2 linked regions of the Drosophila melanogaster genome follow. The protein of the gene in region 2 purifies or fractionates together with the protein of the main gene of each other region. This does not show direct contact. Each region holds a gene or a part of one and is shown on either strand. Other genes may lie near its edges. The genes, in order: CG17601 and Cdk9.

Region 1 (6,106 bases), on a different chromosome or scaffold from region 2:
TGTTTTCTAAACCTAACTTGATTGCAAAAAAAAACGGAGTTCGGAGTGGTTCACAGCCCTAACATTAATTTAGTTTAATTAAGCGTTTAGTCAGTGAACCAAATGTTAAATCAGTTGTGCTTTCTTGTAGGCTTGTGTCTCGGGTTTCATTCATCTGCCTTCTGTTTATAGTTGCACATGGTAGTGTATGCACATACATAAGTTTCGCCAATGTCCCGTCCACTGCCCCCATCCGCCACCCCCCTTAACCACCTGCATATACATCCTCGTACCTACCCGAGACCCCACAATGCCTGTTTGTAGTCTGATTCAGATTGGCTCCGGCTGCGAAACGTCAACGGAACTTTAACGCATTGCAACTTGCAATGGCCAACTTGGCCATCCGAACGCTCGTCTGCCACGCCTATAAGCTCTCAGTGGTGACCCCTAAGAAATACAAAAAGATTCGCTAAATACCTAATAAAATAATTTTGAATTATTACAGAATGCTAAAGTGGAAATTTAGTTTAATCAAAAATAAGATGAGGCAAGATTAAGTCAAATTATATTTTCCTAACTTTTTCTTAAGATGTATACAATTTATTTGTATCAAAAAATTAAAAATGACAAATATAAAATTAAATAAATACAATTGCTGAACTAATTTAACGAGCATTATACATCTAGTTTTTGACAAAGATAAACAAAGAGAAAGACCATAAAAGCCACGTTTTCGAGCCCAATGCCAGACATTTGGATGCCCTTTTTCTTCCGCTGTTCTTTTTGTCACTCAGCTGCTGCTGTGTCAACTATTTAACATTTTATTTTAAATGAAATACAAATCTAAGCCATTTCTATCAGCGACTAGCAAAAGCGGAATTCAGTTTATTTCATCGCTTGCCTGCTGCCGATTAGTTTCCTCTGTTGCAGCATATAGACCGCGTCTACCGCCTAGCACCACTGCAGCCGTATCAGCAGGTTAGGCGGCTCTGGAACTCCTTGAAAAGGCATCTGTTTGTGAATCTCATTGTGAAATAAAAATATTCAGCACTTGGGCAATAACTTTATTAGTCGGGTAGCTCGGGTAGCCTTTGTTGGAGGAATAGAGAAAGGAAAAGTCGTTCCGCAATGTTCCTATGTTTATTGCTGCTGGCGACATTGGAGTCCTGGAAGGGTAGACAGATGGCTAATAAATGTCCAACTCGGCTGTACTTCGGCGTGAGAAGCGCAGACGGACAGAGCGTCGCCCGGGGCAATGCAAATATATGCACATGTTGACATAAGTACATGCAAGCCGACGCCGGCCCCCAAATGACGGGGCCAATGGAGTTAATAGAACCAGCTAAGATGACTTCGTTCGCCTCCCATCACCCAACCCCCGAGCCACGCCCACGCTGATATGACCACCCCAGCCCCCTGAATAAACACCAGGCAGTACCAATTTGGAGGTCCCCAAATACGAACATCAGCCCCTGTTTTCACGTGAAGTTTATGCAGAAATATGAACAAACTATTACTTTAATGATGTTTCATGATGTCAATATATTAGTTTATGAGGTATAGCATCCCTTTAAAATAAGTATGATTCACTGAGCCTCCTCTCTGTTTGGCACAACCTGTAGTTTGGATTGAAGTATACAAAGTTGGACTACAGTTGCATATGAGTCCCTACTTAAGATTTCATGATATATTAAAAAAAAAAAAAAAAAAAACCAATTTAGATACTCTGCGCGCCGTATAAACATCCGGAAAATCAGACAAAACTGGCGGTTGTGACGTGCAGGAAGCCTTTGAGCGTGACGCGTGAAAATTCGTCAAATGCAGGCCAAGTGACATGGGGAGCGACTGCATCCTTGGCATCCTTCGCAACCTAAATATGCACAAAGACTCAAGCATGGCCAAAAGCCCAAGCCCAAACCTAAGCCCAACAAGATGTGCCATGGGTGTGAGTATCAGTGCGCTAGTTTTGTGTACTAGTTTGGTGTGATGGTGCGTTGGTGTGTGTGGGTACGAGTGGGCTGAGACCTGGGGCGTGGCTAGGTTTGCTGTCAACTGAGGAGAAGGCCAAGGACCAAGGAGACGGCACACAGGACCAAGGACCCATGTGAGTGGCTGTCATCGCCGCGACTCGGGGCATTCATATGGTAACAAGCGATCCACACCACTTGTTTTGCAATTAAAAATCACAGACTGAACCGTATGACTGCCCGGAATGAAGCCTAACGTGGGACGGCTGCTTTAAAAAAGGTCTGGCATACCGGGCTATTCTACCAAAAAGCACTTACAGCGAATGTGGAAGGCCGCTAGAAATGTGTTGTTTAAAAAAAATTATCATTATCAATGGTTACAACAAGCGTCCTTAAAATAATAAATCTATTTTTACGGTAATTCATAAATCCACATATTTTTGCTGATTTATTTGCTTTAAGATTACCATTTTCCACGGCAATGATTGCAAATCAATATTTCATCATATTGATCATATCATATTCATATTCAGTTGTCATAATTAAAAAATGAATCGTCTAAGTATTTAAACGAATCCATTTTTTGTGTGTACAAATGAATGCAATGTGTATAAATCCAAGTCGAGTTCGACTTTATAGACCACCATTATTAGCCATTGAATATTAAATATGAAAAGGCTACGTTGCCTTCAAAGTCTTCAAAGTCTGCTGGTCCTTTTCATCTGACGGCCCCTTATCCTGCCCACCGTCTAGCTTCCTGTCCAAATTGCGATTCTTGGCATTCTGCAGTTCTTCTTGGTCGTAGGCCTCTATGCGCTTCTCCAGCATGTCAACCTCTAGCCACAATTGGGTGGCCGAGTTCCAGCGCGGCGGCGGGTCACCATTGATCTGGGCCAGCAGAATTTCAAGACGGTTACGATCCCACTGGTTGGCCTCTTCGCGGCGGTTGCTCACCACAGACTTCAGGTGGTTTATTTGCCGTTCTCCGGAGCTAGCGGTGATGACCCGATCGCTTGCGTCAGCGATTCGGTCGGCCACAGCCTGGCAAGACTTCTCATTTGGACCGGGGAGAAAATATGAGAATGTATCCGGACGCCGATTTATTGTTTCAGTTGCCAGTGGATTGATTGCCGGCATCAGATGGATGGCCAAGTACTGGGACGACAGTGGCTGCGAATCCAGCAGCTTGACCTTGTTCTCGACCTTTTTGCGCTTCGCCGGACCCTTAGCCAGGATATCGGTTTGGGTGCCAACCGAGCGGCAGTTGATGCGCTTAGTGAACTGCTCCACAGTCGCCACACTGCGTGATGCAATCCTCGAGATCCGTTTCCTTGGGGCCATAGCTGTGGTTATGACTATATGCAAACGTCTCTGAGAAAATAAGGTTAAAAGTAAGGTCACAACCTGATAGGGTTTGCTTTTAATATTTTTAATCTGTCAGTGGAAAAGAAAGGTGGAAACCCTACTAAGGCCAATCGGATAGGAACTTTTTCAATACATCACTCGTTAATTATATCAATATTTTATATATATTTTTCTTAACGCCTAACCTTTCAACGCAATGAAAACGGAAGTTTGAAAAAATATATGTACTCAACTTCCTATTGGCTGGGAAGCCCTCTTAACTGTCCAACGCTAAATTGTAGAGCTTCAATCAGCAGATACATACATACATACATATATGTATGTACAACACTTGCACCGATGAAAATCAAATAGAAAGCCTTTTTAAAAATTCGTTTTGGTATCCTTAAGTACATTTAAACATGTTGGTAAATGTAAACCTCTTATTTTACTTACATACTCTGTACATACCTGTGATGTTAAGATACAATATTATGATGTACGGATTCTTCACTTAATAAATAATAATTTAAAAAAAAACCTTACATACTCTTTTCCCATCACCTTTTTGCCGTGCATTGTATTCCAGTAGTTGCTGAGGAGATCTCCAGATTTATTTATTTGAACTCCTAATTTGAGGAATTTTATTTGGGTTGATCATTGATTAATAAGTCTATCATAAGCATGATCTGAAAATATATTTACATTCATATATTTTCTGATCATGCTTATGAACGAGAAAACTTGTAAATCTAACAAATTAAGCTGTCTGCCAATTTCACAGATAAATAACACCTGTTGAGAGCTCTTAGACTTCACACTATTACAATCAATCATTGATTTTTTTAGTTTCTTATACAAATAAATGTTATTGCACACACCATAGATACATATGTATGTGTAACGAGCGGGTTTTTGTCCAGAAATAATTTAACCATAACGAGATAGTCAATAACTAAACGGTATGATATCGATGCGAATAGAAGAGAAAAAAAGTTTGAAAATGCACGCAATAAGCAAAGCACGCGAAGTTTGTGAAAGCAATTGTAATTTCATAATGTTACTCAATTTTTGAGTACAAGGCCTCCAGCTACTGATCGGGTTTAAAATACATTTGTGTGCGCTATAAAATACAAAAAACAAAAACAGTTTGAGCACAACCCCTCAATTATTTAACTATCTGATACCCTAGTATCAGAATATGCGTAGCAAGACAAGGGAGAACGCTATGAATGAGTTCTCCGACTATCAGAAGATACACGTTAGTGGTTGGTTGGTTTTGGTATGTATTTATTCCTTATGCACCAAGACTATTACTTAGTAAAATCCGTATTCCCCATATTAAGCAAAACAAGAGTGTATGATATAATCGAGTTCCCCGACTATTAGATACTCATCGTTACTCAGCTAGTGGAAATGCGAATGGGAAATTTCATAATTTTTCTCGGATATCGATAGATATTGGGAAATAATATAATATTGGCAATTTAAAAGACTAATAATAATATGAAAAAGTATTAAAACATTTAGCAAACGTGTGGGCGTGACAGTTCTAGGCAGTTTGTGGGCGTTAGACTGGGCTTGGGAACATGGGCAACTGCACTGCGTCTACGTCTTTAGAATCTGTATGCTTCTTAACTTTCTTTTACCTTCTAGCTTTTATTGAAAAATAGATAGATTTCTGAGATCTCGACGTTCATACGGATGTCCGGCCGAACATGGATATATTGTATATTAGGAATATATATACAATATATGGTCGGAAACGCTTCCTTCTACCTGTTTCATAAGAATATTACTAAAAGGATATAACAAATTTAGTGCCGCTTTTAGGCATTTTGAATGTGCGCTTGTATGATTGAAACAGGGTTCATTCGACTTTTTAAATAAATAGAGTTTTATTTGGTTTTCATATCCATTAATTGTATAAAAACTAAAAAATTAGAAAATATAAATTCTTGATGAGGATCACAAGCGGAATCTTCCATCTGTCGATCAATATTAACTATAAGCTATATATGTACATATGTATATATGTATATACACTGTAAAAGCTAATGTGACACACACACAGCTCTAGTGTGTTTCAGAACGTCGTCTTGCCCACTATAACGCCCGCAAACTTCCCAAAATATCACACCATCGATAACCCAACAGAGTGTTGAATCTGTGCAATGATAAGTAAATTACAAGAACAATAAAGGATATATAGAAAAACTGAAATTTATGTGCCCAACAGGTCAATTTCAGTTGAGATAGTGGCGCCCTCTGTCGGGTATGCTTAATTTGTAAAAATCCCAATTATCGTATTTCAATAATTCGTTCTTAGCAACTCCTACATTTTTAATGGAATGGAAACCGCGCAACCGTTTCCCAGGTGAACCCCGTGCGACCGTCCACAGCAATCGAATGAATATTAGCCAAGGATAGCAGGGGGACACTGCGAGAAATTTCATATGGCAAGTGATAGTAACCTGTATTTGTTTAAGTATTAAAATAAAAAAACTAAAACCTATTTAAGTTAAAATTAATTTTATTTCGCTTTTATTTTCAGTTTCATGTATTGCTGTTTTTGAGAAATTTAGTACATATATCTTAATTCCTATTTTATGTAATATTTTCTTATTAAAATTCCGTTTAAAATTACCAACATTGTTGTTGACAATAATCTTAGTTTAATATTAATAATATATTTTAGAAATGGATCAATGTTTAGAGTTCGTTATCATATTTTCTCGCTATGCATTTTCCGTTACCTAGCAACCATCAATTTGGGATTCGGTGGCCCAAACAAAAGCTCCAACGACCACAACAAA
Region 2 (6,737 bases):
CCAGGTGATGAATAACCGCTATACTGATGCAGCCATCGATGCTGGACGAGCGAACGGGCACCACAAGACAGTCGCATCGAAACACGTTTTGTCCCTTCCGACGACCTACAGCAAGTAGTCCTTGCGCTCTGTCGCAACCAACGGACAGGAGCAGCGGGTTGCAGCTTAGATACTTGCCATTGCCGCAACCAATGTCCAGCACCACAGATTGGGGCTCAAAGGAGTCCAGAAATTCAGATACTTGTGGCCAAGGCGTGTGCCGCGTTTCGCTGAAGTGATCCGCAATCTTATCGTACACCTCGTGGACGTTCTGTTGCTCCAGAGTGATGGCCTGAGCAGCTAGCGATGCGTGCAACTCCTGTGGTACCTTGGTTTGCTGTGTGTCGCAAAGCGCGGGGTATGAACAGTCGCAGGGACCTTTTCGCAGGCGTCGAAAAGTCAAAGAAGTTCTCTTGCCGCGGGCTTGAGTGGTCAAACCGCCAGATGCACTGGGTACCACATCAATGTGCTTCGGTCTGATGCCATGCGTCCAATCGTATCGAGCTTCACCCGACATTATTAGCAAGGATCGGCGCGGAAGTCTGACTTGAACCTGGTCATCTCCTCGGCGGAAGTCCATTACCACGTCGGATTGCAGGGACAGCGAAAGAATGGGATCCAAGAAAGCACTATGTGTGTCCACATGCGGGGGAATTCCATGACCGGGTTCGTATTCATTCACTGTCAGCTGGTCAGGAGAACTCCAGTCCCAGGTGGAAGCGAAGCTATTTAGTCGTGGCCATAGAATATCACATGCTGATGGTATCGACTGTTCCAGAGGCTTCGAGGGATCCACATTATTGGTGCCGTAAAGAAACTCAAAGCCGAAGTGCTTGACGTTTCGATGCTTTAGAGATCCCGTGACTTCGGAGGTTCTGCCATCCTCGCCAATGGCCCTCAACAGCGTTGACTCCTCCTCTTCGGTGACAAAGTCAGCAATTATGTGAAGGCCTCTGGGAAGAGGCTTGTTCCACTCACTTTTTCCCGCAAGTGCCGGTAGTTGCCTTATATAGCTAAGGTAGGCTACAGCTCCCTGTTGTCCAATGGTCGATATATTGTGCATTCCCTCATAGATGAGCTGGGAGTCTTCCAAGCTGGCACAAATAAAAAAACAGTACGATTTGCCCGGCAACATGACCACTTGGATGACTTTTCCACCGGTCGCGGCAGCCTCCGTGAGCAAACACTCCTCCGTGAGTCCATTGCTGAGTCCCACGTTGAGAACCGCCAGGTAAGGGGTGGGTTCAGCGCTTGGAGACACCTCGCAGTCACTTTTGATGATTGCCAGACATCTTCGCTGCTTTTTATCCGCCTTTTTGGCCTTGTTTACCTTTTGCTGTGTTTCCTCAACGTGCATCTCGCGGCCAGTGTGTACACCCCTTTTCAATGTTTTTCTTTTTGTTCTAATACTTAAGTCGATTGTGAATACCCTTTCTTGCAACTTCAAGTAATTGTAGAAACTTTGAATAAAGAATAATAAGAAGCAGAGAAACATAATGTAGGTATATTTGGAGCAAGCGCTAATGCAAATGCCAATATTTTTATTGTACACTAACCTAATAACCTAACGCTAGTTGAAGGTGAGAAACTATTAGTCGGGTGCGTACACCTCTGGCAGTCTACCAAACCCGGTCAATCATACTGTTGTCCTGGGGCTTCTGGTTCATGGTGGTCAGTTGCTGGTGATAGTTGCGCATCTGGTTGCTGCGGCGTGGCTGCGCCAGGTACTCGAACATGCTCTGCAGGTGCTGGGACAGCATCTTGCTCAAGTCGCTGGGCATGGGATCCGTCCAGAAGAAGTCGTGATTCAGAGCTGTGTCCGCATCGATGCGTTTCTTGGGATCAAGGGTCAGCAATTTGTCCAATAGATCACAGCCGGTTTGATCCTTGACATACGGACGCAGGCGCTCCTTGACTCGACGCTTCTGGTTCTTTGGCAGCTCGATGGATTTGTACAGCTCCAGCTCCTCCACTCCCGGCCACACGTCCGGCGTAAAGGAGCCGCATAGCTGCGAGATAAAGGTTAGCTGCTGCTGCTCCGTATTGCCTTGCATGATGGGCGAGCGTGTCCACATCTCGGCCATTATGCAGCCGGCTCCCCACATGTCCACGGGTGGACCATAGTTGCGGTCACCAAGTAGCAGCTCAGGCGGCCGGTACCACAAGGTTACTACGCGATTGGTATAGCGATTCTTACTCTCGTTCTTTGGAATGCTAAAAGCACGGGCCAAGCCAAAGTCAGCCAGCTTTAAGATGCCATGCTTGGTAATCAGCACGTTGGCAGCTTTCATGTCTCGGTGCAGGATCTAGTAATGCAAATGAAAACAGATACATACAATGTAAAACCAAAACTTTGCTTAATGACATGACTCACCTTGTTGCTGTGGATGTAATACAAACCGTTTAAAAGCTGCTGCATAACCTTCTTAATCTCGCCCAGACTGAACTTGACGTTCATGTTGGACAGAAGACCTGCCAAATCGTGTTCGCAGAAATCAAAGACCAAATAGAAGGTGGATCTGTAACCATTCGTGGCGGTGGCCTTGGTGCGGCAGATCTCGATCAGATTCACCACGTTCTCGTGCTTTAGCAGCTGCAGGATGCGGATCTCTCGCAGAGCCGTGATGGGAAACTAGGGGAGCACATATATAAATAAGGAATTCGTCTCTTAAGATGTTGCTTTTCACGCACGCCCTCCTTTTCGTTGTCCATCAGCACCTTCTTCATGGCCACAAACTTCTTGTTGCCCTTTTTCTCGCGAGCCTTAAAAACCTCTCTGTAATCAAAGGGGTCGTATGTTTTAGTTTAAAGTTAGTTTTCACCAATTTGGAGACTTACCCGAAGGTGCCTTGGCCAATTTTCGCCACCTTTTCGTATTTGTTGCTCTCGTCGCAGTAGGGAAAGTCGTAGTCCTCGATGTACTTTTGTTTCTCCATCAGGGACATCGTGCGCGATGAGCTGGAGCCCACGTTGGAGGGCGTCGACCCCGAAGGCTGCTGGAGCATGTGGGACATGTGCGCCATGGTTAAATTTGCCTCTATTTGTACAATTTTCACAATCACAGTTTCGCGAGAAGCCGACAGTCGAAAAGAAAGAAATCGGCAACAATTGGTGTTTCTACAGCTGTTGACTAAAGAAATACCGGTGTGCACACACTGTCAAGGCCTATCGATAAGAAATCGATGGGTCAAACAGCTGGGTAGTAATAACTTTTCGATTGTTGGTATACACTGGCCAAGTGATATAACCTAGCCAAAATTTGTCCAACAAATAAAAGCCGAATTAATGAATAAACTGTTGAATATAGCCCAGGCAGGGCATCGGCAGTTTGTCCGGGAATATGCATTCAAGTCGGACCTGAAAATCAAATGGATGCGCCCCGAGAAGATCGCGTGCTATAAGCCCGAAAAGAGCGGCGATTTAGCCAAGCTGCCTCCTCTGAAAGCCGACGAACTGCTGCCGGAATACAGGGACTGCAAGGAGTTGGATAAGTATGTTGCAGTATTCTCTCAATATAATAGTTTATTTACATCATCTCACCATTTTGTAGAGCCGACGAGTCAGTTAAATCCTTGTTCAAACTGAGCAACAACGCTAGTTACCTGACCACAAAATTCTATCGCGATGAGATGGTCAAGGAGGTGCAAAGACATGCCCAGGATTTCGGCTCAATGGAGGCCAAATGTATGTATCTTTGCAAAGTGCACATATAGCAGTTCCCCCCAAATTTGCCCTTCTTTTAGTGGCAAAAATGACTGCAGTTATCCGCCGCTACCAGGAGCACATGGACAAGCATCCGCGCGACAAGATGATCAAGGTGCGTCTCAAGGAGCTCATCGACAAACGCAAGAAGTTCCTCAAGTACTTGAGACGTTGGGATTATCCCCGCTTCGAGTGGATTCTCGAGAAACTCGACCTGGTGTACAAGCCACCGCCCACACATTTCCACTGGATCACCCGCAAGGAATCCCTCCAAAAGTTGACCGACATATACTGCGAAAACCTAAAGGAAGAGCGGCTAGAGGCTTACCATAAGCAGCTGCAGGCCCAGCAAATACCCTTCCTTGAGGAGGCCATCAAGAAGATGCAGTTCGTGCGGCAGGAACAGATTTCCTGCGATGTCCCCGTGACCGTGACAGAAGAGAAGATCGCCGACTCAAAAAGGCAGCTGGAAATGCTGAAGGAGCTGCAGCAGGCGGAGGCAGCCGCCAGCAGCAAGAAACAAAACGAGGATGGCTTCAATTAGGCCCGATTCTTTAATGTTACGGTGTCTTACAATAAATGTAAATGCTGGTTTTCTTAAATTATATGTTTTATTATACTTTAAGAGTTAGGCTGGACATCGTACCCTATGTCATGATCATCTGAGCGCATACTGGCAAATAAATAAGAAGGCAAGCATGATTGCCTTAGAAAAATGTGTAAAAACAGACGCAATTAAAGAGAAGTTCCTAAAGGGTACGGTTGCAGCTAACGTCTGCCCGACGAGGAGGTTTTCCGCCTGCCGCCGCTGCTGGAGCTACTCGAGCTGCTCGACGAAGAGTCGCTGGAGCTGGACGAACTGGACGACGACGAGGAGGACACGGAAGAGGTAGAGTCGCGTGAGGTACGCTTGCGCTCCTTGTCGCCATTGCCAGTGCCCTCTTTGCTCTTGACATCCGTGGAAGTGACTTCTTCGTCGCCCCAGAGATCGTACTTTGATAGATCCTCGTCGTCTCCCTCGTCGTCGTCCTCATCTTCTTCCTCATCATTCCGCTGCTCATCTCGGCTAGACCTTCTGGGCCTCTTTGAGTCCTCTCTATGCTCGCCGTGCTTTCGCTTCTTGCGACGACCGAACTCATCGTACTCGCTATCCGAATCCTGACGATCCTTGTACTCTACCACGCCGCGATCATTGTATCCACCGCCAAAGCCTTTAAAGAAACTGGTTAAGTGGGTTTTGAAGCAGATCAGGCTTCTACGGACTCACCAGTCCGCTCCTCCACATCCGAGAACTTAGGAGCGTTGCACATATTGCAGGTTTGGCGACGGGCCCAGTTCACATTCGCGCATTTGCTGCACTGCCAGTCCTCGGCGCTGAACAAGCCCCGCGACTTGTCGGCCGCCGCCTTGCCGATCTCGGTGCCCAGCTTTTTCTTGCTTGAGCTGCTGCTACTGCTGCTGCTCCCGTTGCCGCGTTCCCGCTCCCGGTCTCGATCCCTGTCGCGCTCCGGCTTATCACTGCCATCGCGGTCCCGGTCGCATTTGTTGCACTGCAAACGGCGGGCGAAGTTCAGATGGCGACAGCTGCAAAATCGAGGGAAGTGTGAGACTCGCAGGACTTCTCACTTGGCCGCTATCACTGCATCTTTACGGGCACTCACTCGTAATCTGGGCAAATCCAATCGCCAGGCGAAGCGACGCCGCTGCTTCCCGCGGCCCCTGATGCCACGCCTCCATTTGAACTGGACATGTCTGTGCCTTGGCTGCGTCCTCTGCCAAAGGATAATGCTAACGGGCGTCCAAGTGATCCTCCTTAGGCCTCAGGAGCAGCATTTAACAGATTTTTTTTACCAATATTATATTCTGTATACGGTACGAAATAAAGTGGTCAAAACATCGATACCGTTATCGATAGTCTGGCTTCCGATGCAACAATCGATAGGTCATTCAAATTGTATTTGGGGTACTCCAAAACTTATTTTGGAATTTAATTGCAATTCAATTGAAAATATTTGGGTAGGTAGGATTTCCAGCTTTCAACTTATTTGCGATAAATCGCAGGTTTCTAAGCTGTAAACATTTTCCTTGTAAAAATAGGCCACCAAAGGAGTACAAGAGATCAACAAAAGTTATTGACAACAATCTGTGATTATCGCCACTCTTCAAATAGTTTTGCATATAAAATTGGTCCAGAAACACTTCAATTAAACAACTATTGCACTCGCGCCTTTCCCAGACAATGAACCACAAGAACTTGTATACTTTTAGAGTTTTATTTCCTTAGTTTACAAACAAAAGCCGCTCCAAAAGTAAACACTGATTTTGTTTTGTCGGTTGTTGATTGGTTGGTAAAGAAGTTTGACTAACGCATAACCAGCAGCTTTTGGGAATAGCAGGCGATGCCCGCAGACGAGCTTTCCTCCATCAGGCTTACTTCTTGCCAGTGCCGATCTTGGCCTTGGCAGTACCGCGCACCTTCTTCATCCTGTTGCGACGCTCCTTGCGCTGCTTGCGGGTCTGCTTCTTCTGTTCGAAGAGGCCGTGACGGGCCAGGCGGTACTTGGGCTCGAACTTCTTGGCGAAGTCCAGGGTGTCGTAGATGAGGGCAAAGCCGGTGGAGCGGCCGCCACCGAAGTTGGTGCGGAATCCGAAGGCGAAGACCACATCGGGGGTGACCTTGTACATGGCGGCGAGCTTCTCGCGGATCTCGGTCTTGTTCACCGACGACAATCCTGGGTGGAGGACATCGCAGACCATCTGTTTCCTGGCGAGCAGGCGGTTGGTCATGAACTTGCGGGTGCGGATGGTAGCGGTTGTACCGGACATTTTGACGGAGCTGCAAAAGGATGGTAGAGGTTTAGCTTGGGCCTTTCATTCAAACAAAATGCTCGCCAGTCCGGATTGTTTTTGTCGCTTTTGAGCGACACAACATAACCTCACTGGCAGTGGGTGCTCCATGTCTCCACGTGTGACATGTTTCTGCGCTCATTCGCCGT

What was found.
Region 1: the proteins of Cdk9 (region 2) and CG17601 purify together in Drosophila melanogaster (affinity purification with mass spectrometry, with the first as the bait; one large-scale study listed by BioGRID). This does not show direct contact.

The regions. Positions count from the first base shown.
Region 1 is NC_004354.4:22,544,311-22,550,416, reverse strand, and holds CG17601 (uncharacterized protein), read right to left. Parts: upstream 3,321-6,106; 5' UTR 3,288-3,320; coding exon 2,625-3,287; 3' UTR 2,361-2,624; downstream 1-2,360.
Region 2 is NT_033778.4:22,634,529-22,641,265, forward strand, and holds Cdk9 (Cyclin-dependent kinase 9), read right to left. Parts: upstream 3,200-6,737; 5' UTR 3,063-3,199; coding exon 2,878-3,062; intron 2,816-2,877; coding exon 2,731-2,815; intron 2,672-2,730; coding exon 2,414-2,671; intron 2,346-2,413; coding exon 1,659-2,345; 3' UTR 1,535-1,658; downstream 1-1,534. Other genes in the region: CG17807 (uncharacterized protein), read right to left, coding at 1-1,396; bonsai, read left to right, coding at 3,325-3,530, 3,590-3,723, 3,783-4,285; CG3732 (uncharacterized protein), read right to left, coding at 4,510-4,952, 5,009-5,325, 5,403-5,491; RpS24 (ribosomal protein S24), read right to left, coding at 6,172-6,567.